Linked DNA regions of Oryzias latipes. The protein of the gene in region 3 purifies or fractionates together with the protein of the main gene of each other region. This does not show direct contact. Links are inferred from orthologs where the notes say so. Each region holds a gene or a part of one and is shown on either strand. Other genes may lie near its edges.

The links.
Region 1: the proteins of prpf40a (region 3) and ncbp3 purify together in Homo sapiens (affinity purification with mass spectrometry; 3 studies listed by BioGRID and IntAct, counting the BioPlex papers as one, with this or other methods). This does not show direct contact. The link is inferred for Oryzias latipes from reciprocal best matches to the Homo sapiens genes PRPF40A and NCBP3.
Region 2: the proteins of prpf40a (region 3) and sf3b1 purify together in Homo sapiens (co-immunoprecipitation; 3 studies listed by BioGRID and IntAct, with this or other methods). This does not show direct contact. The link is inferred for Oryzias latipes from reciprocal best matches to the Homo sapiens genes PRPF40A and SF3B1.
Region 4: the proteins of prpf40a (region 3) and snrnp70 fractionate together in Homo sapiens (co-fractionation; 3 studies listed by BioGRID, with this or other methods). This does not show direct contact. The link is inferred for Oryzias latipes from reciprocal best matches to the Homo sapiens genes PRPF40A and SNRNP70.
Region 5: the proteins of prpf40a (region 3) and rnps1 purify together in Homo sapiens (affinity purification with mass spectrometry; 4 studies listed by BioGRID and IntAct, counting the BioPlex papers as one, with this or other methods). This does not show direct contact. The link is inferred for Oryzias latipes from reciprocal best matches to the Homo sapiens genes PRPF40A and RNPS1.
Region 6: the proteins of prpf40a (region 3) and RNA-binding protein 25 purify together in Homo sapiens (affinity purification with mass spectrometry; 5 studies listed by BioGRID and IntAct, with this or other methods). This does not show direct contact. The link is inferred for Oryzias latipes from reciprocal best matches to the Homo sapiens genes PRPF40A and RBM25.

The regions. Positions count from the first base shown.
Region 1 is NC_019872.2:24,106,602-24,111,650, forward strand, and holds the start of ncbp3 (nuclear cap-binding protein subunit 3), read left to right. Parts: upstream 1-1,836; 5' UTR 1,837-1,977; coding exon 1,978-2,157; intron 2,158-2,970; coding exon 2,971-3,036; intron 3,037-3,376; coding exon 3,377-3,482; intron 3,483-3,555; coding exon 3,556-3,681; intron 3,682-3,759; coding exon 3,760-3,879; intron 3,880-3,956; coding exon 3,957-4,081; intron 4,082-4,600; coding exon 4,601-4,709; intron 4,710-5,049. Other genes in the region: rap1 GTPase-activating protein 2, read left to right, coding at 176-223. UniProt on the Homo sapiens protein: Associates with NCBP1/CBP80 to form an alternative cap-binding complex (CBC) which plays a key role in mRNA export. NCBP3 serves as adapter protein linking the capped RNAs (m7GpppG-capped RNA) to NCBP1/CBP80.
Region 2 is NC_019879.2:170,779-174,971, reverse strand, and holds the end of sf3b1 (splicing factor 3B subunit 1), read left to right. Parts: coding exon 1-181; intron 182-252; coding exon 253-364; intron 365-441; coding exon 442-562; intron 563-634; coding exon 635-766; intron 767-839; coding exon 840-1,112; intron 1,113-2,167; coding exon 2,168-2,384; intron 2,385-2,465; coding exon 2,466-2,624; 3' UTR 2,625-2,931; downstream 2,932-4,193. UniProt on the Homo sapiens protein: Component of the 17S U2 SnRNP complex of the spliceosome, a large ribonucleoprotein complex that removes introns from transcribed pre-mRNAs.
Region 3 is NC_019879.2:20,298,375-20,303,494, reverse strand, and holds the start of prpf40a (pre-mRNA-processing factor 40 homolog A), read left to right. Parts: upstream 1-1,676; 5' UTR 1,677-1,799; coding exon 1,800-1,802; intron 1,803-4,779; coding exon 4,780-4,860; intron 4,861-4,969; coding exon 4,970-5,110; intron 5,111-5,120.
Region 4 is NC_019866.2:24,779,371-24,784,460, reverse strand, and holds the start of snrnp70 (U1 small nuclear ribonucleoprotein 70 kDa), read right to left. Parts: upstream 3,165-5,090; 5' UTR 2,960-3,164; intron 2,600-2,959; 5' UTR 2,594-2,599; coding exon 2,447-2,593; intron 2,373-2,446; coding exon 2,310-2,372; intron 1,186-2,309; coding exon 1,131-1,185; intron 1,049-1,130; coding exon 984-1,048; intron 917-983; coding exon 854-916; intron 630-853; coding exon 548-629; intron 1-547. UniProt on the Homo sapiens protein: Component of the spliceosomal U1 snRNP, which is essential for recognition of the pre-mRNA 5' splice-site and the subsequent assembly of the spliceosome. SNRNP70 binds to the loop I region of U1-snRNA.
Region 5 is NC_019866.2:11,023,928-11,029,208, reverse strand, and holds rnps1 (RNA-binding protein with serine-rich domain 1), read left to right. Parts: upstream 1-1,900; 5' UTR 1,901-1,992; coding exon 1,993-1,994; exon of another isoform or gene 1,995-2,061; coding exon of another isoform or gene 2,062-2,063; intron 2,064-2,575; coding exon 2,576-2,710; intron 2,711-2,815; coding exon 2,816-2,992; intron 2,993-3,082; coding exon 3,083-3,188; intron 3,189-3,442; coding exon 3,443-3,596; intron 3,597-3,688; coding exon 3,689-3,830; intron 3,831-3,948; coding exon 3,949-4,054; 3' UTR 4,055-4,338; downstream 4,339-5,281. UniProt on the Homo sapiens protein: Part of pre- and post-splicing multiprotein mRNP complexes. Auxiliary component of the splicing-dependent multiprotein exon junction complex (EJC) deposited at splice junction on mRNAs.
Region 6 is NC_019880.2:1,892,235-1,896,789, reverse strand, and holds part of RNA-binding protein 25, read right to left. Parts: intron 4,159-4,555; coding exon 4,109-4,158; intron 3,983-4,108; coding exon 3,812-3,982; intron 3,196-3,811; coding exon 3,138-3,195; intron 2,470-3,137; coding exon 2,309-2,469; intron 2,232-2,308; coding exon 2,037-2,231; intron 1,935-2,036; coding exon 1,851-1,934; intron 248-1,850; coding exon 1-247. UniProt on the Homo sapiens protein: RNA-binding protein that acts as a regulator of alternative pre-mRNA splicing. Involved in apoptotic cell death through the regulation of the apoptotic factor BCL2L1 isoform expression.

The DNA.
Region 1 (5,049 bases), on a different chromosome or scaffold from region 3:
GGCGCTCTGCGCACAGTGTTTCACCAACGTTGAATTCAGTTTGAGGCAGTAGTATAATCATACTGAACTGACTAAACGTCTGCTAAAACGGCTTTCTGCTTTGATGGACTCTACCTACATGAAGGACAATCTTCATGGACACACAAGTGAATGATTTTCTGTCTGTTTTCCACAGGAACTGTCGCACACAGACAAGCTTCCCCACCTTTGTGAGGACCACTGATGGTGTATTTCACTGCAGCTCTTCTGTTTCACACTCAACAACCTGGTTTCTGAGGATCACAGCAAGATTTTTGGAGCTTTTAACTTGTACAGTTTGATGTATGAACTTCACAAAAGTCCTTTTAGTTTTTTTACACTAAACGAGTCAAAGTGTAATTTATTTCAATAATTGTCCTCTTTCGTCTGAGTGGTTTCTTTGGGATTTAAATTGTCTGTTTTTCACATTTATTGATTCCAGCACTTTTTGTAATCATGTGATCCGTGTAATGTGAGGTGTTTTCTGTTCATGTGGTGCACAAAGGAAATAAATTATTTCCTCACAAACATGGAAGACATTCTTTCTCCCCGACAAGTGTCGGATCTGTGGGACATTTTGAGAAGAACTCATTGAATTTCTATTCCGTTTTTCCCTTTCGGGGTCACGGGGCTGCCGGAGCCTATCCCGGCCACTTGTGGGCGAAGGCAGGGGACACCCTGGACAGTTCGCCAGTCTGTCGCAGGGTAGAATGTCCACAATCACACACCCATTCACACTCACACTCACACCTATGGACAATTTAGATTAACCAATTAACCTATGAAGCATGTTTTTGGACAGTGGGAGGCAGCCGGAGACCCCGGAGAAAACCCACGCATACACGGGGAGAACATGCAAACTCCACACAGAAATGTCCCCCATTGATGTTCTGTTTCAGGTCCCCCAGCCGGGACCTGAACCGGGGGCCTTCTTGCTGTGAGGCAACCACTGCGCCACTGTGCAGAGAAGAGAAGAACTGCGAAGCAAAAAAAAAAAAAAGGGAAATGTAAAAAACACACATATTTTACCCAGATATAGAAATCCAAAACTCACCATGAACTGATTTACATGTCATGTTAAAGCTAAAAGCTGAACGGAAGTCATTAGTTTGTAGCTAAAAAACTGATGTGGAACAACAGATGTGTCATTTGTTCCTAGTACATACATGTAAATGTCTCGACAGATTTTACGACATACATGGAGGAGAACGCTGAAGAGTCGATGAATAAAGAACATGTTAGTTTAGGAGAGGTGGCTGTCAGTTTATGACTGGACTGTTCATCAAGAGGAATAAAACGGATGAGTCACAGAGAAGTCATGAAACAGAGGAGAGCAAGCCAGACTGAAGTCAGAGCTGAACATTTGTGAACAACACCTTGGTTTCATGCAGAGAGAGACAACCACAGACGATTTGCTCTGGGAAGGAGGTGAATGAAGGTCAGCTGGGGGAAAAACAGAGTATCGTTGGCGTTGCTCACTTCATCAACGACCACCGGGCACGGCGGGTCGTTCTGGAACAGGATCCGGGCTGCAGACAGTCTCTCCTCCAGGCTCTGGTGCTGACTGATGTCATAGTTGTTGGAGGCCCAGCCATCAACTTTGACAAACTGACTTTGAACATTTTCAATTCATAGCAATCTGTTTCTGTAATTTTTCTTTTGTAATACATGTATCTATGTACCATCCCCTGGCATTCTCGTTTTTAATGACTGTTGTTCTTGTTATACATATTTGTTCTATTTGTTTTGAACAATAAAGTTTAAGAAAAAAACTTTGACAAACTGACTGTGACGGAACGGTGCGATAGGGGGCGCCAGACCCCCGACTCGGTTACATTCCCGTCAACGAAGAAGAAGAGCAGGGAACGTCTGCCGGGTCACGGTACCACCGCACCGAACCAGTGCCGGGTCACGGTACCACCGCAGCCTCAGCAGCCCTTGTTCGCAGTAGTTAGCGCCATGGCGGCGGTGCGCAGCCTGCGGGTATCGGTGAAACCAGACAGCGGCTCAGAGCACTCGGAACCGGATTCCGAGTCGGACCGAGATGACGCTCGCGAAGCCGAACCGATGGAGGTGGAGGAGGGCGAGGTGGATGCAGAGGATATCTCCGTTAACCGCTCTCTGAAGGAGCTTCTGCCGGTAAGACCCCGAACTACTTAGGCCCGCAGAGCCGGGGACTGGAGTTTTGCTTCAACATACAGAGTCGGCATGCGATTATTACCCGAAGCTCCGTCTAGTAGTTCCAGGAATTAGTCGGTGACGGGCGCCGCTGTTAATGCTCGCTGCAGCCACGGGGATTTTCTCTTTTCTGGGCCCCTTAGCCAATAGAGAGTTGTTGTGTCGCTCACCTGTTGATCTTTACTTACCTAAGAAACGGCGGTGAGTTTGGAGAATCCGTCTAAAAACGTGCATATATTATAAGCAGAGCTTTCTGCGGGGATTCAGCTAAAATGATCGATTAGCTACTGTCAGTCCATTATAATTATAACCCAGTCTCAGGTCCGGGCCAGCCCATTTATGACCTAGTCTAAGTCTGGGTCATTCCATCATGACCCGGTCTTGAACCAGCTCAGTAGCCTTGGGTTAGTGTCCGCCCTGTGACTGGAAGGTCGTGAGTTCAAATCCAGCCCGAGTCATACCAAAGCCTCTAAAAATGGGACCCAATGCCTCCCTGCTTGACACTCAGCATAGGGGTTAGATTGGGGGAGTTAATGAATAACCCCCTATATGGTGGATTAACTTAATCCACCATAAAGTTCCGTCCGAGCGCGGCTGTGTCCGCAGCTCACCGCTCCCCCAGGGGTGGGGTCAAATGTGGAGAACAAATTTCACATACCTAGTTAGGTGTGTGAAAGTTAACGGTACTTTAAGTTGTACTTTTCTTTAGTCTGGCTCGGCCCATTATGACCCGGTCTGGCAGATGACCTAGTTCTGCCCGCTCTGTCTCTGCAGGACACCAGCCGGCGTTACGAGAACAAGGCCGGAGCGTTTATCACCGGGATTGACGTCAACTCAAAGGTACCGCAGCCTCATCACGCAGCTGCCATGTGATCAGCTCGTTGTTGGTAAAAAGCATTGAAAGCATGAAATAAAGTTCCAGTCCAGGTCCAAAAGTGCAAGGCCTCATGAAAAAGAACCTCACTGAATCACCCACCTGGGTGCCGACCTCTCCAAGCCTGGCTTGGGAACGCCTCGTCTCTCCTCAGACTGCTGCCTCTGCCACCCAGACGATCAGAAGAAAGTAGACGTGTGACCTGCCTTCACCTCCAACCACAAACCATTAACTCTGACGTGAAGGAAGCTGTTACCATGGTAGCCAACTACAAACCGGGGTATGACACAGTTGTTTGTGTTTTAGGAGGCGATTGAGAAGAAGGAGAAGCGAGCGCGACGTTTCCATTTCTGCGGCGAGCAGAGCGTCAGTCAGAAGGCCGTCGTCCTGGACAAGGAAACCATAAAGAAAGGTGGGGGTGGCTCCGGGTTTTGTCGTGTCCCGAGGTGGTGTTGGTGTATTGTTGACGTTGTCGTCTGCTTCAGCCATTCCCCGCCTGCGGCTGGAGGCGCTCCACGTCACGGGCGTGGACGACATGAGCACGCAGGACATCTTCGGCTATTTTAAGGAGTATCCTCCCGCCCACATCGAGTGGATTGACGACGCGTCATGTGAGCGCACGAACGTTTGCAGGACGACAGGAAACCCAAAGAGGGTCCTGAGGTTTAACCACCGCTTCCATCCTTCAGGTAACGTGGTCTGGTTGGACGATGACACCTCCATCCGAGCGCTCATCAACACTAGCAGAATGCCCGACCCGGAGGCCGTTACCACGGAGACCGGAGAGCAGCCAGGCAAAGAGAGCAAAGGTCAGCGAGTGGAAACATGCTCTGACTTTCCGAGGCCGCAGTGCAGCCTGGGTAATGGCTCTATCTGCACACAACAGCTCAGCGAGGTCCAGACTCAGAGGATGAGGAAGAGGAGGGTGAGGTGGGCGATGAAGAGGACGGGGCAGCCAGAAGGAGCAGTGAAGTGCAGGAGGAGCAGCAGCCGAAGGAGCGCGGAACACAGGTAGCTGTCACCAACCGCACAAGCTCATTGGTCAGTCAGAGAGTGGGGGGTGGGGGGTCTAAAGCTGCGTTCACACTGAACGGGAGTGAAGCGTCAGAAAGATTCTGGCGAGCGGTGAATATTCTGGCTGAACTTTGGTCACGAATTCGCGTCACGTCAACCAATCAGGGAGTCAGCTTTAGCCCAGGATGCTTTGATGACGTGATCAGCATCTGGAGGCCAAAACCAACATGGAGGACAATCTGACCGCTCTCCTCCTTAACTTTATGATTTTTCTTTTTTCCATAGAGACAAAAATAAAAAAAAATTCTGGGATTTTCCAAACCTTTAGCCCCTCCCACACACAGCAGGAGCGTCAGGTTTACGACAAGCTTCCAGGAGCAAATTTAGCGCGTGTCAAAACGGAGGAAACAAATTCGCCAGGAGAATTGAGTTTGCAGTAAACTCAGCAAGAGGCTGGAGTCAGGAGGAGCTGTTGACACGTTTATGTGTGTGTTTATGTGTGTGTGCACGACTCAGGTGGACGACCTGTCGCGGGCGGAGAGAGAGTCGCTGCTGAGGAACGAGCCGCGGCCCGCCATCAAACCCTTCAAGGGGAACAAGCTGCTGCTGCGCTTCGCCACACAAGGTGAGCCGCCGTGTCTGTGGGGACACGCCCACCAGGACGGCGACTCTCAAACCCTGAAGCCCACCTGAAACCACAAAACCCACTTTTGCAGCACGTTCCAAATTACACCAATGACATTTTTCTGTGATTTCTCTGTAATTGTCAACGCAAACGTCAGTCAGCAGAATGTTCAAGTCAGTAAGCGTTAGAGTATAAATAACGGTAAATGTTACTGAACACAACCTAAAGATAAAACCCTCAAAGTCACTGTTCCACATTATTACACACAACCGAGTTCCACAACATTTGATAGATTCTAAAGAACTGAAAATGGTAGTTTGCTACATGTTCGTATTTACTG
Region 2 (4,193 bases), about 20 Mb from region 3:
CTCTGTGATGCTGAACGGTTTTGGCACGGTGGTGAACGCGCTGGGCAAACGCGTGAAACCGTACCTGCCTCAGATCTGCGGTACAGTGCTGTGGCGCCTCAACAACAAGTCCGCCAAAGTGCGTCAGCAGGCGGCGGACCTGATCTCACGCACAGCGGTGGTCATGAAGACCTGTCAGGAGGTAGGTGACCCCGCCCCCGTAAACCTGCAGCTCAGGCCTGAGGCCTCACCCGCTCTGCTGTCCCTCTGCAGGAGAAGCTGATGGGCCATCTGGGGGTGGTGCTGTACGAGTACCTGGGAGAGGAGTACCCCGAGGTTCTGGGCAGTATCCTGGGCGCACTCAAGGCCATCGTAAACGTCATTGGTGCGCCGCCTCCCCTCATGCACGACCTGCCCAAGATTTGGTATTACAGAGAAAATCCTGACTGGTTCTTGTTGCAGGAATGCACAAGATGACCCCTCCTATCAAAGACCTGCTTCCTCGCTTGACCCCCATCCTGAAGAACCGGCATGAGAAGGTCCAGGAGAACTGCATCGACCTGGTGGGCCGGATCGCTGACAGGTCTGTTGGTTCTGGAGGTTTTGCTGCCGTTTCAGCAGCTGTCCTTTAAACCATGTTTCCTTTTCTTGTCAGGGGGGCCGAGTACGTGTCTGCCAGGGAGTGGATGAGGATCTGCTTTGAGCTGCTGGAGCTCCTCAAGGCTCACAAAAAGGCCATCCGCAGAGCCACAGTCAACACCTTCGGTTACATCGCCAAAGCCATCGGGTGAGTGCTCATCCACCACCACCCGCCGTCCGCAGGCGGACCTGCTCTCAAATGTTCCGGTTCTGTCTCGCAGCCCTCACGACGTTCTGGCCACACTGCTCAACAACCTGAAGGTCCAGGAGCGGCAGAACCGGGTCTGCACCACCGTGGCCATTGCCATCGTGGCAGAGACGTGTTCGCCTTTCACCGTGCTGCCGGCGCTCATGAACGAGTACCGAGTCCCCGAGCTGAACGTGCAGAACGGCGTCCTCAAATCTCTCTCCTTCCTGTTTGAGTACATCGGAGAGATGGGCAAAGACTACATCTACGCCGTCACGCCGCTGCTGGAGGACGCGCTGATGGACAGGTGGGGCCGTTTGTTATTCTCCCCCCGTTCAGCAGCATGGATGTGCTTTAGGATCTCCTCTTTGCCGTGGGAAAAATGTTTGTGAGGATGGCGACACCCAGTTGTCTTATTGGATAGCAATTTAACTTTTAATGCTCATATCAACTCAGTGGTGAAATCCAGTTTTTTTCACCTGAGACAACTGGCCGAGGTTAAACCTCTCCTCTCTCACCATGACTTTGAGATTTTAATCCATGCTTTTATTTCAACACGTTTGGACTACTGTAATGCTGCTGCCCGTCTTCTAACTGGTACACGGAAACAAGAACATATCACTCCCATTTTAGCATCTCTTCATTGGCTCCCAGTTCGCTTACGCATTGATTTTAAAATTCTCCTATTTGTTTTTAAATGTCTCCGTGGACTCGCTCCAAAATATCTGTCTGACCTGATTCAGGTGTACACTCCCCCCCGCTCCCTTAGGTCAACCAATCAGACACAGCTGGTCGTCTCGAAGACCAGGAGAAAACGGAGAGGTGACCGAGCCTTCTCGGCCTTCGGACCAAAAATCTGGAAGGAATTGCCCCTGTACCTCAGACAGATAGACTCACTTAGTATTTTTAAATCTGCTCTTAAAACATATTTTTTCACTTTGGCTTTTAACTGAGTTGGAGTCCGGACCTATTTTATGTGTTTTATGCTTTATATTTTCATGTGCTTTTATTAATTTTTGTGTTGTTCAGCACTTTGGTGAACCTTGTTCTGTTTAAAGTGCTTTATAAATAAAGTTGAGTTGAGTTGTCTTATTGCCCCAATTTGAGTCACTATGGGTCGTTCCTGCACAAAATGCAGTTCTTAAACTTGAGGGGTACCTACAGAATACTATATATATTATAAATTGTGGATCTTCTAGTGGCTTAAAGGCTTTTCTGAAAGAGCGGATTCTATGGTACATCCATGCCAGATCTGGTGCTGCCTCCTCTACATGGAGCAAGAACCACTTTAACCACAAACGGATCTGCTGCTCAGAACGCATTGGCTCTCTGTGGTTCTGACCCGTTTGCTGTGCTTCACAGGGACCTGGTCCACAGACAGACGGCCAGCGCGGTGGTGCAGCACATGTCTCTGGGCGTGTACGGCTTTGGCTGCGAGGACTCCCTCAACCACCTGCTGAATTATGTGTGGCCCAACGTCTTTGAGACCTCGCCACATGTCATCCAGGCGGTGATGGGGGCCCTGGAGGGTCTCCGGGTGGCCCTCGGCCCCTGTCGCATGCTGCAGTACTGCTTACAGGTGAGGCCCAGCCTCTAACCTCGACCACACTGGTGCTCCTGGTTGTGGTGTTTTGCTAAAGTCCGGTTCTCGTCTCTACAGGGTCTGTTCCATCCAGCTAGAAAGGTTCGAGATGTCTACTGGAAGATCTACAACTCCATCTACATCGGCTCCCAGGACGCCCTGATCGCGCAGTACCCGCAGGTCTACAACGACGACAAGAACGTGTATGTGCGCTACGAGCTAGAGTACGTCCTGTAAATATAGCTGCCCCCCTCCCTTAGGGTCTGCCATGACTCTAGGCCCGTTTTTATTTTTAGTGTCAGCCTCTCTGTTCAGGCCAGAAATCCCAGACGGAGCAGAAGGTAGTCTGTAAGGTTTTGTTTTTTTACTTTGGTCTTTTTGAAGTGTTTGCTGTAAGAAGGGGGGTCAGTAGGGGTGGACTCCTCTTTAAGTGTCTGCTTTCTCTGTCCTTGTTGATTATTCAAACACCTCCCTCATTTTTCAAACCACCTCTGTTCTTAGATCAAGGATTTATTTAATCAAATAAAACATTTGTGTATAAAAACTGTGTTCTGTGTTTCTGCCTCCACCATCACAGACTAGACGGGGTACCGTGCTGGTGGACTCCACCGTCACAGACTAGACGGGGTACAGTGCTGGTGGACTCCACCGTCACAGACTAAACGGGGTACCGTGCTGGTGGACTCCACCGTCACAGACTAGACGGGGTACAGTGCTGGTGGACTCCACCGTCACAGACTAGACGGGGTACCGTGCTGGTGGACTCCACCGTCACAGACTAGACAGGGTACAGTGCTGGTGGACTCCAGCATCACAGACTAGACGGGGTACCGTGCTGGTGGACTCCACCGTCACAGACTAAACGGGGTACCGTGCTGGTGGACTCCACCGTCACAGACTAAAAGGGGTACAGTGCTGGTGGACTCCAGCATCACAGACTAGACGGGGTACCGTGCTGGTGGACTCCACCGTCACAGACTAAACGGGGTACCGTGCTGGTGGACTCCAGCATCACAGACTAGACGGGGTACCGTGCTGGTGGACTCCACCGTCACAGACTAAACGGGGTACAGTGCTGGTGGACTCCAGCATCACAGACTAGACGGGGTACCGTGCTGGTGGACTCCACCGTCACAGACTAGACAGGGTACAGTGCTGGTGGACTCCAGCATCACAGACTAGACGGGGTACCGTGCTGGTGGACTCCACCGTCACAGACTAGACAGGGTACAGTGCTGGTGGACTCCACCGTCACAGACTAGACAGGGGACCGTGCTGGTGGACTCCGTCACAGACTAGACGGAATACCGTGCCGGTGGACTCACCCGTCACAGACTAAAAGGGGTACAGTGCTGGTGGACTCCACCGTCACAGACTAAACGGGGTACCGTGCTGGTGGACTCCACCGTCACAGACTAGACGGGGTACAGTGCTGGTGGACTCCACCGTCACAGACTAGACGGGGTACCGTGCTGGTGGACTCCACCGTCACAGACTAGACAGGGTACAGTGCTGGTGGACTCCAGCATCACAGACTAGACGGGGTACCGTGCTGGTGGACTCCACCGTCACAGACTAAACGGGGTACCGTGCTGGTGGACTCCACCGTCACAGACTAAAAGGGGTACAGTGCTGGTGGACTCCAGCATCACAGACTAGACGGGGTACCGTGCTGGTGGACTCCACCGTCACAGACTAAACGGGGTACCGTGCTGGTGGACTCCAGCATCACAGACTAGACGGGGTACCGTGCTGGTGGACTCCACCGTCACAGACTAAACGGGGTACAGTGCTGGTGGACTCCAG
Region 3 (5,120 bases):
TAATGTCTGCAGAACTGGGTAAACTTATAGATGAAGCAGGATGCACAATATTTTTGAGCTATGTTGTCTGAGAACAACCACAAGGGGTTATAACAAGGACAAATGTAGTCTCACGGAGTTGGGAGGCAACAACACGCCGATCCATGCAAGCTGAGAATCACACTGTGTTAGCCCTTATTTATGGATTTCTTTTATTTTGTTCTACATTTTAAAATGTGCAAAACATTAAAAAAAGCTAGGTTCTTAGTGAAATATTCAGCTTTAAACCAAGACTATGAGATGCTTTTTTCCCCTAAATAAACTAAATGTTTAAACCTATGTCTCTTCATTCTTACGGGGCAACTTGAATAACAGACTCTAAATGTGATGTGCTTTGTTGGTAGCTCATGTGGCTATGCTTGACAGGAAGCCAATTGTCAGATGAGACTGCAGTGCCTGCAAGGCAGGTCAGCAGGATGCTGGACTCAAAACTCACTGCCTCAAAATGGCCTGCAGCAAACATTGACCAACTCATATATTGTGAATCAATAGCACAGACAAAGATGAGGTACTGGCGAACTGGGTTAGGACTAGATCATAAGCACTCAGTGGCTCAGGCGGTTGAGCAGGTCGGCCAATGATCGAAGGGTCGGCGTTTTGATCCCTGCTCCCCCCGGTCAACTATCGTTGTGTCCTTGGGCAAGACACTTCACCCTCCCCGCCTCCAGTGTGGTTCCACTGGTGTGTGAATTCGTATGAATGCCCCGGTGATGGTCAAAGGGACCATAGGCGCATACTGGCAGCCACGCCTCTGTCAGTCTGCCCCAGGGCAGCTGTGGCTACATCAGTAGTTACCATCACCAAGTGTGAATGAGGAGAGAATGAATAATAAACATGTTGTAAGGGTTTTGAGCGTCTGGAAAAGCGCAGATGAATCCAATACAATACTATTTTTCTTATAAATATAGTGTTTTTAATGTTTATTTGGAAAGTGGGAATTAGTTGAGCCCTGGTTTAGACATCTAATCAACCTAATTGTCAAGAAACAGAAAAACGACAGGTGAAATGTAGTATCAATAATTAACCCCATGCTTAAAGCAAAGCAAAAGAAAATATTTGATAAATGTATCTTTAACTGATTCATTTGTTATTGTTATTTTTTATTTCAGCTACTCCAAATTCTACATGATGTTTAATCAAAAAACAGCTCTTTCCGTTTTTGTGTAAGGCAACCAGCATTACACTCAAGTATAGTCATCTTTACCCGACTCATTTTCAATGTACCTAGTAAAGAATAAAGATAATGAAATCCCTTATAAGACTATTCTTGGCATAATTAACAGCCTTTTAGTGGCATTTCTTCTGCCCTATTTTGGCAAAATATCCTTTTCAGATTTCTAAATTGGTTGAGGTTACATTAGATGTTGAGCAGGTCTGGTAATTGTCAAGAAAAGAGTGAACACATTTTATACCATTTACAATCATATGGACATATGAGTTATTTCATAATAATATGTGTGATGTTTTAAGTGAAACATTTGACTCAAAAGTTACATTGAGCCACACTCTTTTATTTGCCCTACTTTTAATTTGTTATATAGTTCGTTTGTGTTGTGTTTTTTTCCCTTTGAAACTCATAAATCTGGAATTCTTCTCCCCTCATCCCCGTTGATGCGCATGTCTGCGCACATTTAGCGCAAACTAACGCCACTGAGCTACAAACTTTGACCTCTTTGCGCCGGAAGCAACGTCGACCAATCGTATCGCTCTTTGTTGGGAGGTGCTGATGCTCACATTTGTCGAAGGCTCATTGAGACAACATGGTAAGTATCGTTGCTTCAAGTGCTAGTTTTTGTTTTCATGTTATATGCTAAATGCATTTTGTGGCTTTAAATTCACTACTTCTTGAAGGTTATTTTAAAGCTTATTTTACTATAGAGGGGCTAGACGTTTCAACAAAACCGCGACGTTAGCTTTTTTGTTAGCATTTAGCCGAGTTAGCGTCATGTCATCGACTATCACCATGAGAAGAAACACTAATAAGGAAAGAATAAACTCCCAATTGTAAAATGAATTTTGTTCTGTCAGTGTGGCAGTAGATAATTTATGCATTTTATGTAAAGGTGGTTTGGTGTAAAGGTCACAATCGCTGCCTCTCTTACTCTTCTTAGCCAGAGCATAGACCTAGCCCGTGTCCTCCTCGTTATAACAATCATTAACTGATGCTTAAGAATTGAAGGAAGGGTAATTAAGAATAGGGACAGACTTTTTATATTTCATGATAATCCATCTATCTACACGAGATACTTTTTTATTGACCAAAATTATGTATTTTTACACTTTTGTACCTATATGTTTATTTGTGAAATTACAGTTAACCTAAACGATAACTATAACTTGCTCACTTTAAAAAAATGTATTATTTATAAACGTTTTAAATGGATTTCCTTAAAATAAATTGTCTGTGGTAGTTTAAGACTATTTTGGGGGAAAAACATCTTGACAATGAATAACTAGATTGTTTTTCCTGCGGATATACATTTAATTGTGCATGTAATTTGAATTGATTAAAGTTGTAGATGTTCTATTTTAACGTGTTAGATAAAGAAAAACAATACAGGCCAAGTTCCAAAAAGTTAGAACTAGAAGTACTGTTCAACTAAAGTTTAAATGTTTACAAATGGTTAAAATGTTATATTTGTCAGTAAAAATCAGCTTCAGGTGTCACAGCTCAACAGGAGTATGACTAGCATTTGAGTTCAATGCATTGTTACATAGTTGAAAAGTATTAACAGTCTGTGAAAAGCAACTTGAAAGCTAAAAAAAAAAAAACTTTAAAGTTGGAATTCTGCCTCTGTCTCAAAAATTGTGGGGAAGGGTAGTTAAAGCAACTGCTCTATACAAATCTAAACATATATTATTTTGATCAAAATTATTTTCGTTGAAGCTTTTATGTCCACTTAGAGTAGAAAGATATGGTAAATGGATCATTTCTATTGCAAAAAGTATGCTAAAGTGAATCATTTCCCTCCACTAACTATAATAGAAAAAAAACATCTTATTTGTAAAGTAACGAAAATACTAAAAGTAGATTAAAAAAAACTTGCCTAAAATAGAGCAAAATTTTCCCACTCATGCTGTAAATGTTTTGCTTTTTAACAAAATCCCACTAAAGTATGTTGTAGATACGAATGGATAAAACTGGTACACAGACGTAGTTGTTTGAATAAAACAATATTTTGTTTGTTATAACACCATCAAGCCGAAGAATTCTTACTTTCTTTTCTATCTTTTCTTAATTGGATTATTCTATATAAATACAATTCAAGTGGTAAATAGATCCAATGTCTTCAACTGTAAGTGATTTTAAACACAGATTGTTTAAATATATAATCACAATAAAGCAAATGAAATCAAACTTTATTTATAGAGCACTTTTTAATACTTTATTATTGCAAAGGTCTTCACACACAAAAAATCAAAGAGCCAATGCTGTTTTCATAAAAATAACATCAAACTAATAAAAACACAATGCTCTTAACTCCCTGATCCCATCACCTCCACATTAGAAAACATTAAAATGAGCATATATTTGAGAGTAGGAATAAAACCAAAGTGAGTATCTCTAAAGTAATTTAAATTAAAACTCTTGTTTTAACACGAATCCCCCCCCCTCCCCAAAGTCACATATTTATTAAGTGACATGTTTTTACTTTAGCCATCCATTAAGAACTGTTTCACTTTCCAGTGTTTTTTTTTCATTCCTGAATCTTTGGATTTTATTTACAGCCCCTTGTTTAACCATTTACCTGCTCAGTTTAGACTTTCTGGTTTAACTTGATGCCTTGTATTAAAAAAAAAAACACTTGAAAAAAGTGTTAAAAACAGCTGCAGAACTAACGGCTGAAAATATAAATGACTTCTGTAGATAAAACCTGATTTTTTATTATTACCTCTGACAACGTCTGGACCACCCCACCTAAAACTCCAACTTCTGTCATGAACGATGTCGTTGGTTTTGCTCCTTATTTTTCATGGGTATATTAGGGTGAAACTTAAAACCGCGCAAAAAAATTTCTGGCAGATCGTCTTAAAAACTCACAGTGGCTTGTTGCAACAGATTTTTTCTCATCTTTTTAATTTCTATCTCAGAATTGAAATGCTTGGAGGAACACAGAGTACAGTTTAGTTACTTCATTTGTTGTCCCCCTGAAAAATCCATTGTATGACGTCAAATATTGCCTGTCTAGCCAGTCAGAGAACCTATTACATTTAAATTACTAATTTTAATTAGTTTAGCTTGGCTTTTAAAACTCCAGCTTCAAATGAAAGTCTAAACTGGTTTCAATTAGGATTTAGAACATTGAAGTGCACAGTAAATGTAAAATCCTAGCAATGAGATTTGTTTATTTAACACCATAATCACTTTCAATTTTTAAAATCCTATAAAATGCTGTTTTTGTAGGAATTCTGTCATGACTAGTTTAAACAAAATATATTTTTTAATATATCAGTAAATGTATCATCAAAATATTGGGATTGCTATTTTTTTATACTGATTGACTTTAAAATACTTATGCATGTTTTTATGAAAGGAATGATATTTGTCCTCATGTAATTACAATGCTAACTTTAAGTTAGTTTGTTTCTATACTGCTTTGCTTTAAATATTTTCTTTGGCAGGTCAATAAACTTGAGGATTTAGATTTATTGGTTTTTCCTAAATAATTGACTCTTAAGGGACTTTCCAAAAGTACAAGTTATGAGTTCTGACTGTGTTTTGTTTCTTTTTCTTAACAGTCTTCAACAGAAGCTAACAATGGTCCGAGCCAAGCACCAGCTTATCCGGCTGTACCACCCTCAACAATACCTCCTCCATATGTGAGTGATGGATAATTTTCAAAAATATGTTTTTGTCTTTTTTATTTCTCTGTTGTATTTGGAGTAAATAAGAATTATGTTTGTCTTTTTTTCTCTTTCGCTTCACCAGATGGGACCGCCAGGAATACCACCTCATTTTGCTCCGATGGGAATGCCCCCTATGGGTCAGCGACCTAGCATGACTCCTATGCCTCCTGGTATAATGCCCCCTGGCATAATGCCTCCTATGGCAGCCCCACCATTGGGACAGGTATGATTGT
Region 4 (5,090 bases), on a different chromosome or scaffold from region 3:
CGAGTCTGGACTATGTTTACATTTGGTGGCATCCGGATCAGGAGAATTCTTATTCCAACATGACCAGGGTTGAAGACCACCACTCAAACTGACAGACAAACTCAAGACTGAATGATTAAAGGTGACGAGTGATTGGCAGAAAGCCTGCTCCGTGTTTGGTGTCCACCTTGAGCTTACCATCACAGTCCCACCGGGAGAGCGGCTCTTCCACTGAACTACAACTCCTCACACTTAAAGACAATGTGCCCTTTGACAAGCAAACATGTTCAGGTTCACAGATCAAACATTTCTGTTACTCCACCCCGACGCCTCCAATAAATGACTCCTCCCCCCTTTAAACGCAACTGTTAGTCCACCGGCGACACATCGAGCAGACCCCCCCCCCCACACACACACACACACACGTCAGACGAGCAGCAGACATGGATCTGGTGAGCAGAGCTCAGTTTGCTGGTCTCCTTACAGAAGCATCAGTGACGAGCAGTGCTCTGATCCACACACACCAACACAGACTGGCTTTGGTGGCCGATGCCTCAGCCGTACTCACAGTGCATGTCTCGCTCGTGCTCATACTCTATGAAGGCGTAGCCGCGGGGCTTCCCTGTTCCCTTGTTGTAGACGATGTAAATCTGAAAAGAAAAACTCCTGGTGAGACTCGGCAGAGCGGAGGCAGCAGACATGCAGTCAGCGCACGACGACACGCACAAAGCGGCGCCAAAACGCTTCACGCACGGCTCTTTACTTTTTTTTATAGTATTTTGAAGAGCCAGGAGAATTTTCTCACATTGTAAAGACAAAAGGGTTCATGTTTTGAAGAAAATCTGGACACAGAAAAATAATAATCAATAGCTACCCGTTTAATGGGGCCATAGACTTCAAACTCACGGCGAAGTTTGGACTCTGTCGTATCATAATTCTGAAACAAAAAGGTTTTAATTACCAGATGTGAACAAGGAGTGAGAAGAACCAAGACAAATACTCACCACTCGTGCCACAAACAGAGTCTTGAAGGCATCCCCCTGAGCATTGGGGTCATTATGGGGGTCCCCTGACATGGAACAAACAGGAAGGATGAGCACAAAGCTTTTCACCGTTTGAGGAGAACGGCGTGAAGAAAGTGACAAACTCACAGAGCTTCAGTTCTGTCTCCACTTCTCCCTGTCGCCTCTCAATCTTCTCTCTCCTCTGGAAACAGAAAAGAAAATGGTGACGGCCAACCGCAGAGCCTCCAACAGCAGAGCATCAGCACAGAGCTGACATAATCCCGCACTTGGTTTCTTGTCTGCTGCCAGCATGCACCTGTGCTGGGCTCCTGCCTGGTATAATATTTCTATAGACTTGAGAGGTTTTCACCGAGGCAGAAAATGCTGAATGAAGGAGTTAGGACTGTAATTCAACTACCCCTCCTTTGAGAATCTGCATTCATTAGGTCTGTGCTTCACAGCCAAACTCCTGCTTCAGTCAATTCACAAGTTCACAAATAAATTTCCTTTATGGCTCAAGACGCTCAACTGAAACGTTACAACCCCAACATAACATTATCTGTGCAACAAAAATGGCGAGCGATAAAGGAGCTATCCAGGCGTTGAGTTTCTCAAACAACAATACTAACAAATGCAATTTTAATCCTAATTTTCTGTATACATGCCTTCCATCGTTATCTACGCAGCACAATCAGAGATCCAAACAGTAACGACTGGTGGACGCTGCAGCACAGACAGGATCAGGTTAGAGGTTTATATAGTAAAGAGATGGTTGAGTGTGCCATGAGAAATTACTCAATTTCACCTATTTGTTCTAAAAAAAAAAACATTTTCCATCGCCAGAATATTAGCTCTACGTTCATCGAAATACGCCCAGGTTTCAGTTGGGAGTACTACAGATCACAGAAGACTTTTACTTCCTATTTAAGACACTTTGATTAAAAAAAATGTCTGCACCACTACTGTGCAGCAACTTAGGCCAATGGCTCTTATTTTGGAAAAAGTTTGTAAAACACCCCCAGTTCCTCACCCTGACAAAATACCAGCTAACAATGGTGGAAGTGTAGCTTCAAGCAGGATCCGGTGTCAGACCGTGTAAAAAGTGCATCCAATAATGAAGCCCGGAGATTTGCATCAGTGTCACAGAGTTTACTACATCTCCCATGATTCATTGGGTTGATGTGACAGAATCTGTGCTACTGCCAGCTGCCATAAAGCAAAACAAACGCAAATATGAAATCTTCTGGATGAAAGCAGAGATAAACCGTTTATTTATCCATCAGGTTCTGTATTTGAGCACATGTGCAAAGGGGGGAGGAAACTCACCTTTCTCTCCAGGCGTTCCTCGCGGGTCTCGGCTCTGGTTGGTGGGGGGGCATCTCTAGGATCCTGGTGGGAAACAGTAGGAAGGTGAGACAGAGGCATCGGGGGGACGGAGGCTCGCACGTGACAGCGACGCTCACCTCGAAGTGTCTGATGAAGGGGGCGATGCCGCTGTACGGCTGGTTGTGATGCTTCTCGTGGGGCAGCTTCTCCAGCTGAGGCAGGAACGGAATCGGGTCCCGGGGGGCGAACAGGGCCAACAGGTTCGGCGGGAGGAACTGCGTCATCTTTCACTTGATCGATAAGGAAAACATGCATGATATCAGACACGGATCTGCCGCAACACAATGAAGCAGCGAAACTAGCTGTCAGGGCAGCTAGCTAGCTAGCTAGCTAGCCGTAATACCCGTACTAGCTAGCTAGCTTCACGCGCTTATTGTTCACTTCCCCACAGGACGGGGGACGCGTTCAACGCATTTCATGCATCCAGAAGTAGAACATCAGGAACCCCCTCCCACAGTAGTACACGTTATGGTCTGCGTACAAGTTAAGAGTTTGGCCGTCCGGAGGCAGCCGGAGGCGTCTGCTCCGCTCGTGGGATGTAGCGCTCCCGTTAGCATGGAGCTAACCACTAACTGCGCCCTTACACTCACCTTCTCTCCTCCAGAGTCCAGCAGCTTTTAGTTCATGGACCTGAAGGAGGAGCGGGACTGTCCGCGGGTTCGGTGGCTCAACGTAGAACCGCCAAAAAGAGACTCCGTGAAGATAAAAATGCTGGAAATGGAGCTGAAAACAACGTGGAGATAGCTGGCTGCGTACTGCGGCTGCTCGGCCTGTTGAAAATATAAAATGGCGGGGGGGACCGCCGCGTGAACGTACGTCTTTTGACGTAACTTACGTGATGACGTCAGGACGCCGTCCAATGAGTTTATTATTGACAATGTGATTTCCATGTGATTTTTCCCATTTTGCTCTGAATTTTATTGAAATAAATATAAGTTTCCTTTGACATTGTTAAAAGTTTATTTTTTTGTTAAAAAAATAAATAACTTGTTAAGTGAGAATCACTATGGGTTTGGTTCTAATAGGTCTACAGGTTTTGCTACAATGAAAGTAGTTGAAGAAATTTCAACAGCAATTGACAAAAAGAAAAATACATTAAAAGTTATCATTGATTTAAAGAAGGAATTTGACACCATAGATCATTCTATCTCGATTTCTAAACTGCATGCGTATGGGGTTAGAGCAATCGCCCACCAGTTATTTACAAAACAGACAATACAGTATGTGCAGTTTGGAGGTAATAAGTCTGATCTCATGAATATTATTTGTGGACTTCCACAAGGTTCAATTATAAATGTTTGGGGTATTTCTAAGTTGTTGCAGTTTGTTTTATTTGGACATGAAGACAAATTTCTCTGTTCAGGGATAATCTAAAACCCTAACTTAAAAGTGTTAAAAAGGAAATGAAACTTAAAATGTGGTTTGATTATAATTAACAAAAACAAAGTTTATGGTATTTGGTAATAAAGAAAAAACAGAAGTGGCTTTATCCATTGACAACATAAATATAGAGCAGGTGTCTGAATTTAAATTTTAGGGGTTATGTTGGATGACAAATGAACATGGAAATCTCATATTTTATGTAAAAAATAAAGTAACCAAGACCCTTTTTGTTTTGAACAAATCCAAGTATATTTTACCATGTCAGAGTGTGCATGTGTTATATTGCTCTTTGGTTTTACCGTACTTTACATTTTGTATTGAAGTGTGGGGGAACACAGATTAAACTAATATAATACCCTTAATTTTATTACAAAAGAGTCTCTGCTTCAGCTGGTCCCAGACCTGCTCTATGGGGTTCAGGTCAAGGGTCATTGCTGGTCAGACCATATGAGCCTAGAGACTGGTTGTGATCATTCTGGCAGCATGTGGTGGAGCGTTATCATCCAAAACTGCAAAACTCTCACACAAAATAACTCAATAGGAGTGAGATTATATGAATTTGCTTTTTCCAACTCCTTTTTTTCCTAGCACTAAATCACTTTCTACTTGACTATTTAGTTAATAATCACTATATTTAAATGTGTCTTAAGTGTGTCTTTGTTTCTGTTTGTTTGTTTGTTTGAATCTATGCAGTTGATTATCTCTGTAAGGAGTTTGATACATCCGTGTGATTTTTCTCTTGTATTGACTACAATTAATACTTGAAAGAAACCAAACCAAATCAATCAATCAACCAACCAACCTATCTACCTATGAACAACTGACTGTATGAAAACTGGACTGAGTGACTCGTCCCCCTGCGGTTCCAAACAAGAGTTACCTGCTGGTTCAAAGAAGCCAAATCTGATAGACATCTACAGAGAAATGGTTTGTGTGGATTTGTCTACTTTGTGCTATTCTATGTTTCATGTCTTAATCTGTAATGTTTACTCTTCAATGAGGTCAGTGGTTTGGACGGATCTCCTTCACCTGCCTTTCGAATACAGAAATAAATGAGCTCTTTTGCTAATTCTAGCATCTATATGTTGTAGTCCTGCTAAAACATTGATGAATTTGTTTTAACCTAAATAAATTATAAAACAGCTATAACTCTGTCATTAAAATCGTCAGGATAACCATTCTCGTTACCTTTTTTAACATAAAATGCCATTTGTTTCACTATATTCTTACTTTATCGCATGCTGGATGGCTCAGTTGGTTTAGCCCAGGACGGCACATGGGAGAGCAGGGTTTGATTCCCATGAGCTTCATCCACTATTGCCTAACAGAACGTCCTCC
Region 5 (5,281 bases), on a different chromosome or scaffold from region 3:
ATTCACGCACCACAGTAACTAGGTCCCCTTTGCATAGCTATGCAGCAGCCGAATACGCAAGCTGCTAACGTCCATAACACCTTAAAAAAACAAATGAAGTTGTGAGTGGCACCCGTTTACAAACGTAACTTCCGCTTTCGTCATAATCTAGCGACGAACTGAATCACACTGGTAAGAAATGAGAATTAACTTATAATTATGGTTCAGTTTTACTTCAACAAATATAATTAAGCTGATGTTGCAGGTTTGGATGGTTAAGGACACCAACAAATTGAATGTGCAGGGGGGAAAAGAAATACATCACACAAGAGTCTGCATGAAAGTTCAAACCTTTGCAAAGGGGATTTTGAGTGGCTTTATATTCTGTAACTGTGGTGTCAACAAACAAACAAACAAACAAACAAACAAACAAACAAACAAACAAGTTGTCTGTGACAAAGAAAACATTGTCAAAATGACTATAAAATTCTGCTTTTGACAGACACTTCTTTCCTGGGCACTTGTTTATAAACACCCCTCACTTATAATTTATTTATTTGGACTAAGAAATACATCATTTACTAAAACAAATATATATTTTTTGTCATAATAATTTCAACAATAATATGGGTCAGTTCCTTGACAGAAAAGGACATTTGTTTAGAACTGAGGAGTTTAATCTAACATATAGTAATACATATTTTTATGGACTCGAAGTCTAAATGTCAACACCATAAAATAAAGAAGATGAAAAGAGAAAATCAGTTACACCCCTGTTGGAAAATCTTGTTTCAAATTTACTCAGGAGAATAACAAAGTCATATGTGCCTTGTTTCAACGAGATGTTATTTCAGAACATTTTGTTGTCTTTTAGTGAAATACTTTTGTCTCTGACTTGCTATGGAAAGAACTTTCATTGCATCAGAAATAGTTGATTAATGACAAGATGAGCGATATCTCCTCTCAATTTCTGCACAGAATAATACTAGTCAAGATATTTAACATTGTAAAATATATTAAAGTTTGTTAACATTCTGTGAAAGAAAACCCAAAAACTCAGTCACCTACTTTGGAATTGTAATATTTATTAAAAATCTTTTGATTAGACTGTACATATTTAAAAAATTGCAACAATAACTCAAAATGCGATGCTCCAGTGCTGTGACTATATGTAAGGTCTGCATGGATTTGTATTATAACTTTTTCATTCATCCACACTTGTGTCGTGTATGTTTACAAAAAAAGTTGGCAAGAAAAAAAAAACAACAACGATATATATATATATATATATATATATATATATATATATATCGTTTTAAGATCTGAATTTACTAAATATTAAATTTTTCCAAAATACAAAGAAATCCATTTTAAAATAATGTATGCAGTCTATCCATACAAGGAACTACTATACATATACGTTTTGGTTTTCCAGAAAATAACTGTTCTTTCTGTGACATAAATATAGAAACACTTGATCATCTGTTTTTTTGAATGTATATATGTTAACAGTTTTTGGGAGAATTTCTTTTCTTGTTGCTCCTCAAAGTTTCCCTTTCCTATTTATATTCAATTACAAAAGCAGATCATATTATTTGGAGTAGTTTCTGTTGATAATATATTTGATTTGACATTCAATACTTTATTAATATCTGGGAAATTTTTCATTGATGAGAGCAGATTTTCAAAAACAAAACCATTATTCAATACATTTCATATTGAGATCAGTTTATATTAAAAATCTCTGATATTAATAAAAAGCAAAAATGCAATAAAATGTCTATTTTCATTGAAGATCACGCGTTGTATGAAAATCCCTTGTATTGTAAACTACAATTATATTATTTTTATTTATTTATTTATTTCTATTTTCTTCTTTTTTCTTTTTTTCTGTTGTAGCTTTTGTGTGTGCGTTTGTTTAAAGTTAAAATAAAAAATTACGTAACATCCGCTTTCATCATCACTTCGCGACCTCACACCAGACCGCAAGTGAAGCCATTTTTGGCCGTTGGAATGTAAGATTAACCTTTTTACGTATTTTCGATCTAAATAGCTTTAATAGCGGAACTTGTTGATTTAAACATGTAAGTTCGGAGGCTTTTTTATTTTGCGCGAAAGTTCCTTATAAAGGAAGAAGTCGTTTAACCGCGACGCGGGTGTAGTTTAGTCCCTTGTTGTGCTCAAAAAAAACAACGAGGGAACGAGTCCAAATAGAAGGTTTTTTTTTTTCTGAATGAAAATATTAGTGTAAGGGAAAATATTATGTAATTTACGGTCCTAAACATTTGGAATTAAGCTTAAAATAATTACAATTTATTGTGCACATGTTAAATGTCGGTAAAAAAAAAAAAAACACCGAAACAATTTTGAATTAATTAGATAAAAATGAAATGAAAAAGTTATATATATTCAAGTAATTAACGAGTTAAATTTAATTAATGACCTTTTTGGTGCAAAAAATTTGTATCTAGCACATTTTAAGGCTGTTTCTCTCTATCCAATAAAAACATAAATCACAATCCTTTACATAAACCTAGACATAATCACTTTTTTAGGTTTCTAGGTCTCTAATTTATGTGCTTTCTCGCCACATCAGGGCACCATTACCGATAAAGCGAAAGGAAGATGAAAAGAAAAACAGGGAAAAAGAAAAAATAAAGGAAGGAGACAAGGAAAGGGGTCGCGACAAAGCAAAGAAACGCCGCAGTGCTTCATCAGGCAGCAGCAGCAGGTGAGCTATTTTTTCTTTCTTATATTTAAAAATATAATATAGCATCCTGTCCTGGATGTTCATTCCCAACTAAATCATTGTTTGTTTTTGACCTTCCACATCTAGATCTAGCTCATCCTCCAGCAGCAGCTCTGGTTCTAGCTCTGGTTCTTCAAGTGGTTCCAGCTCCTCTTCCAGTCGCTCCGGATCCTCTAGCTCTCGGTCTTCCTCCTCCTCCAGCTCTTCGGCCTCTCCAAGTCCCAGCCGCAGACGCCATGACAACCGACGCCGTTCACGATCTCCGTCAGTCCATTTTCTCAGACATGAGACAAATATTTATATTGTATCTCAAAAATATTGACAATATTTATTCTGTAATTTTTTATCCTGCAGTTCTAAAACACAGAAGAGAGGAGAAGAAAGAGAACGAAGAAAAAGAAGTCCCACCCCTAAACCCACAAAGGTTCACTTGGGAAGGCTGACCAGGAATGTAACCAAGGCAAGCTAAAAAAACAAACAAAAGCTAAATCTTTGATTTTTAAAAAAAAAATTCTAATTCAATAAAAGCAGATCTTATTTTTCATGATAACTAGTTAGAATGAAATATTCTTTATGTTTATTGTCTGTCAAGATGTGCGCCTAAAACTGCAAGAATTAAATAAAAAGCTAAATATTTTGTTTTTAGTTTTTTTTAATGGAACAATCCTTCACAAAATAATGGTTAAAAACTAAATGTATGTTTCAATTTACTAGGAACACATCCAGGAGATTTTCTCTACATATGGAAAAATTAAAGCGGTTGACATGCCGGTGGAAAGGCTCTTCCCAAACCTGACCAAAGGCTTTGCTTACGTGGAGTTTGAGACCCCTGAAGAAGCCCAGAAAGCTCTTAAACACATGGATGGAGGTAGGAAAGAATCATTTAAGGGGCTGGAGAAATCATATTGACGAACATAAACTTGGTCAGGTAAAAACAAACCTTCCTGATGACTTTTTTAGGTCAGATTGACGGGCAGGAAATCACTGCAGCTGCTGTGCTGACTCAGCTGATCCGTGGTCCTCCACGTAGACTGTCTCCTCCTCGAAGAATGCCGCCACCTCCACCGATGTGGCGCCGCAGCCCACCACGCATGAGAAGAAGGTTATTTAAAAGCTTTCACTTGTACCTTTTTAATATTTTTAACGTTTTATTATGCGGTCCATTGAAACGGAATCTTCTCCCACCTACTGATGCTCGTCCTTTTTTTGTGCCTGTTTAGATCACGCTCCCCAAGGAGGCGCTCGCCACCACGTCGCCGCTCTCGCTCTAGGTCTCCTGGCCGCAGGCGCCATCGCTCTCGTTCAAGCTCAAATTCCTCCAGATAGAAAGTTGTCTTTACTCTAAATACTCGCCGCAGATCAGCTGCAGTTTTCGCATTTCCTGGCTCCTCGGACACAAAGGATCTATATAAATTGCAGTAAATTTAGCTGAGTTCGTAGTGACAAGGAGACGAGAAAAATTCTTTCTTTTTTTTTAAATTTTGTGCTGAAAATTGACTGTAGTTTTTATGTTATGTCTGATGACATCTAACAAGATTTTGTGATTCCTTCATTCGAGTTGATTTTTTTTTTTGAAGAATTTTGAGAATAAAACCTATGAAACATCTTGATTCTGATTTCTGTCATCTTGTGATCCGGCTCAACTATTATTCTGATTTCTAGTCACAAAAATACTTTTAACCCTTATGTGGTGTTCGGGTCTGTGGGACCCGTTTTCATTTTTTATCAAAAGAAAAATGATACAATTAATTAATTTTTCAAACTCAGACTCACTGGCCTTGGCTCATTTTCTGTGAAGAACAGATATCAGAATACATTTTTAATGACCACACACCGTATACCCCCCCCAACACATTTCTATTACATATAAGATGTTCGGGTCCACTGGACCCAGGGCTAATAGAAGTGTGGAAATTGATGTTTTTATGTACCTACACTCTGTCCTCCACCTGTCTGGGCCTGCTGTGTGTGTGTGTGTGTGGGTGTGTGTGTGTGTGTGTGACCAGTGAGAAAGAGAGAGAGAGAGTGGCAGAGAGAGAAAGATTCACTGTAAATGTGAGTTCTGTTTCTGCACCTGCGGTTCCCGCACAAGGTTGCAACATTGTTAGAATAATTCAAGCATCAACTCTGTTTGCTCTCGTTCTCCCGCACATTTGATCATTTGACTTTCTTGCGGGAATCTTTAATATCTCACATAGCAGATAAAGATCTGCTACAAATTGGAGGCGGGACACTATAAATATAGCTTTGCCAGTGTGGTTTCTCATCACAACTGATCAAAATGGCCAAAAGACTTTCTGCGCAGAGGGCCCTGGAATTGATTTTAGAAGAGAGAGACGTTTTCGATGATGATGTAGAGGGAGACGATTCAGAAGAGGAGGTTTCAGAATTGGAGGATCACATTTCTGAAAATTCAGAGTCTGACAGTGACTCTGGAGAAGATGATTAGATTGGGGCGGCCGTGGTGCAGCGGTAGGGTGGCCAACCCCTGATCGTAAGATTGCAGGTTCAATTCCCGCCTTGCAGGCCCATGAGTCAAAGTGTCCTTGGGCA
Region 6 (4,555 bases), on a different chromosome or scaffold from region 3:
AGCGGCTGCGAGCCTCGCTGACGTCCCGGCTCCTGTCCCGCTCCCGCTCCCGCTCCTTCGTCCTCTCACGCTCCCGGTCGCGCTCCCGCTCCCTCTCGCGCTCCTTGTCCCGCTCCCTCTCGCGCTCCTTCTCCTTCTCGCGGTCGCGGCGTTCCCTCTCGCGCTCCCTTTCTTTGTCCCTCTCCCTCCTCTCCTTCTCCAGCTCCTGACGCTCCTTTTCCTTCTTTCCTTTTTCTTCTTCCAGTTTCTGCAGAAACAAAAAAGGTTATTTTTCCCCTGGTTTTCATAGAACTGCCGCTCTATCTTCAGACTGTGGGGGTCATGTAGGTGGGGGGGTAGAGGGACACATTCTTCCTGAAACACTCGATAGGAAGGATTTTCTGTTTTGGAACCGAGCCGTTTGACCTCTGCAGGAGTATTGTGACGTAACGGGAGCTGGGAATAACCTTCAGCCACAGCGCGTCTGCATATTTTCCACATTAGCGTTCAGTCATGCAAACAGTCGGGAGATGGATTCGATCTGAAGCTGCGGCCCGGAAGCAGGACGTTGGCATCGAGCCGATGACTCACAGCAGGAAGAACAAAGAATATGAAAATACGACAGAGATTCGAGTCACAAAAAAATTCACTTCCCTCATAAAAAGTCAGAATATTAAGGAGCTACATAACTAATAACATATTTTGTTTTCTATGGTTTTATTCATATGATTTATTTTTTCTGATTAAAAAAAAACCACAATTTTTTTTCAGTTCAGTTGTCTCAATAGATGATTGAATTAATGAATATTGGAGAATTAAAAGCTCTAGATATGACTTTATAAAACGTTTAAAGGCGTAGAATCCCTGAAAGGATTGATTTTACAAACGAATGGAGAGAAGCCGCCACAGTGGGCGGGGCATCGCAGCGTTGACAGAAACCAGCAAACCGCTGGATGTCGGGAAACAGATTCCCCGCTGTCCCGGCAGACTGCGGTGAATCTGTGAATTGATGATGAACACGAGGCTCTGCAGCTTCATCAGCTGTAAGTGGGTCACGTGATCAGCTGATTGTGTTGATGTTTACTCCACGTTCCGACATCATTGACCCGTTTTCATGAGTTAACACTTGAGAGGCGGTCAGTCTGCTCACACGCAGCTTTCCCTCCAACGTTAGATCACGTTTACAGGAGCTAGAAATGCTCCAGACAAGAACGTTTGGTGGAGAACGGAGCGTCTGGGACAGAAAAATCAGAGCAGCTTTGTCTGGAAACGATGACGACGGCGGCTGCAAACCGCTGGGAAGTCATGAGGAGCCAGGATCCAGATTTTATGCCTGTTGTTCTCACTTCAAGAATCCATCAACGTGGAGCCAAACAGGAGGAACACAAACAGCAGAAAGAAGCTGTAAAAACAGGAGAACATGCTCCCCTACCAAAGCCTTCATCACACGTCTGCACGGACGATGCAGCACAGCGGCGAGGCAGCAGCTGGAAGCGTCAAAACGCCGTTAAACTGGCAACACGTTGACGGGATCTGTGGTTGCCAGAGCAACGAGGTTTGCAGCAGATAAATGTAAACAGAGAACGAGCTGCGATGCAAAAAAAAAAAATCAGCGTGGAAACGTTTTTTGTTGGGAAGAAAAACGACCAGAAGGCGATTCCAAACCTCCGTCACGTGCGATGAGGAGATCTCTTTATCGTATCTGAGCACCTTACCACTTCAAATAAAACACTAACTTCCTATCCTCAACCCAAAAATACCAGCAAAACCTTCTAATTTTTGTTTCTACGGTTCAGAAGGAAATCAAACTTCTTCCCTTCAGGGAGAACTGTGACTCTGCTTTGTGAAAGGTTGTGGGTTCGACGCCTCACCTTGTGCGTGTCGCGGAATTTGCTGATCTCTCTGGAGATCAGGTCTCGTTTGTCGTCCTCCATCTCCATGGCGTTGATGTCCTCCTTACCCGAAGGACAGACAGAAGAGAAACGGAAACACTAAGCCTCTAAAGACCAACGCAGAGCGGCGGACGCCTGCGCTGGCGTCTTCATCGTGCAGAGTACCTCCTCTTTCTTCTCCTTGCGTTTCTTGTTGCGCGGCTGACTGTCGGCGTCCTGGGAAGGGGCGTTCAGCTCGCTCGAGTACTCTTTGAGGAGGACTTCGATGGCGCCGTTCGCCACCTGGTCCCGCCGCAGAGTTTCTTCGTCGAGGACCTCCTCCTCATCTTCATCTGGCTTTTTCAACCCATCGCCGGTCTCCTTTACATCCAGTGGTCAGAAATATTAGAGGGATCTTCAGAATCAGAGGCGATTTAGTTTGAGCTCTAGCTGCGTACCCCGTTGGCGCTCCTCCTCTTGGCCTTCCACTCCTCCAGCTGAGCCTTGGTCTTGGCGTCCACCTTCACCAGCAGCTTCTTGTCCCCTAAGAGGAGCTCGTGCAGAAGCCGGAGCGCTCGGAGTGTCGATTCCGGCTCCTTGTACTCGCAGAAACCGAAGGCTGAAGAAATCAAGAAGATGAAGAAAGTTCTGTTTCTGTTTAAGTAAAAAAACTTACTGAAAAAAAGCAAGAAGTTTGTGAAAAAAATAGATTTTTTTTCTATTTTGGTTTTTCTCTAAGACAGCATTTACATCACAAGCAGCTGAAGATGCTGGGCTTTTATTCTGAAACAACAGGAAGGACTATTCAGCATCTTCCATTTCTCTAAACTAACACGAGTCTGTCAGCTATCTCAGCCAGCTTTCAAAACTCAACTAAAGCAGAAAAAAAGGGGAAAATAAAGGGGGAAAAAAATCTCTGCTCGTCTGCTTCAACTCTGACATTTACTTCACCACAACTCAGAAAAGCAGCGTTTTCTAAGTGTGTTTGAAAACAGAACAGGAGCTGCATGTAATTTAACGCCATGATTGTGAAGTTTCCAACAAACTGAACGCAGCTCAAAACCCCTTTTTAGACGCATCTTTAATTAAACCCAATAATCTGTAGGTTGTGCTTCCATTTCAAAGTGAATATAAACAAAACAGTTTTTGTTGTTATTTTTAAAAAAAATAATAAAAATATTATTATTTGTTATCTTGTTATCTGCTGGTAGAAAGTTTTATTCTGAAAGCCAATAACCAGGAAGGAAAATCCTTTCAGAAGAAAAGCCCCAAAGAGTTTTCGTTTACCTTGAAGTTTCCCAGAAGCACCTTGGACTCGCTTCCAGCTGAGAACAATCCCACATTTCTGCATCAGACAAACACAAAGCTGTTGACAGTCTAATCAAAGATGGCTGAACGTTTACATCAGAGCAGCTGGAGGTCCGGAGACGTTTGAAACGTTTTAAACTCAAAACCAAAACGGCTTTGAAATCTTTAAAAATATCTATTTTGGTATCGGGCGTTTTGAAATCCCTCTCCCTCCATTTGAATCCTGTCCTTTCAGGAAAGTGTCGTTCATTTCAAAGCTTCCAAACTTTTAGTTTCACTGATCAGTTTTTATCTTCAAACATTTCTGTAGCTTTATCCTAATCCTATCAAAATAAGAGCTTTAAAGCTGTCATTTGTAGGCACAGCGGGCGCTCAGCTTCCCTTCAGTTTTTGATCTTATCCTAAATTCCTTTGTTTCATGAAAACGGAGGTGAGCTGGTTCACTCATTTGACAAGAAAAACACGAGACACACTAAAAGTATTCAGACACCAACATCACTGAGATTTTTGTGACTTAAGGTTTACAGAGGAACTACAAACTTTAAACATTTACTCTGAGAACGATGCCACAGAATGTGGTGAGACTTCAGCAGTTCACAGCCTCCACAAACAGGTTTTTCAAAGTAAAAGCATCTGAATGGGTGCAAACTCACAGCCAGCAGCTGCCTGACCAACATGTCGGAGGCCTTTTCTGAGATGTTCCCCACAAACACGGTGGTGGTGGGGCCCGCGCCGTCGTCCGCATCCCTGGCCCGCCCCATGCCGTGCTCCTTCTTTGCAGCTATGGGCTTCTGGGTAATGGTGACCGCAGTTGGAACCAGAACCTGCGACAGCAATGCAAGGTTTAGAGACGAACGCATCAACTGTGGATGCCATAAAGACGGCGGTGACGGCGGGTCACACGGAGGAGCTGCGGGTTAATGTGGTAAAAACTCTGGTTTCAGACTCACTGTGGGCGCGGGGGCCACTACGCCCATGTGAACTGGGATCATGGGAGTACCTGGAAACAGCAGAGGGAAAAGGTTGGTGTAGATTTTGCTTTCATCCACACTGAATCCTAACTTCTAGGACTGTTTCACCCAGAAAGTTCCCTCAGTTCCAAGCTGTGAGTGTAAAGCCAACAGGGTGGAGCGGACGCTCACACATCTAAGACAAAGAGGCCCTTCAGAGGAGACAGAGGCAGACAGAAACCTGTTTCCCCTCAAACTATGGGAATCCAGTCCTCATGAAGACAGTGATCCACGGTGAGCCTCAAACACAACTGGACTTTAACGATGAATCCGTGAATTGATTTATGATTCCAACCAGACAGAGTTAATGGAATTGGCCCACACTGTTATAAAATGGTTTCAAAATGAGATCAAATACTATTTGGATTGAGGTACAGCCGGTTTATT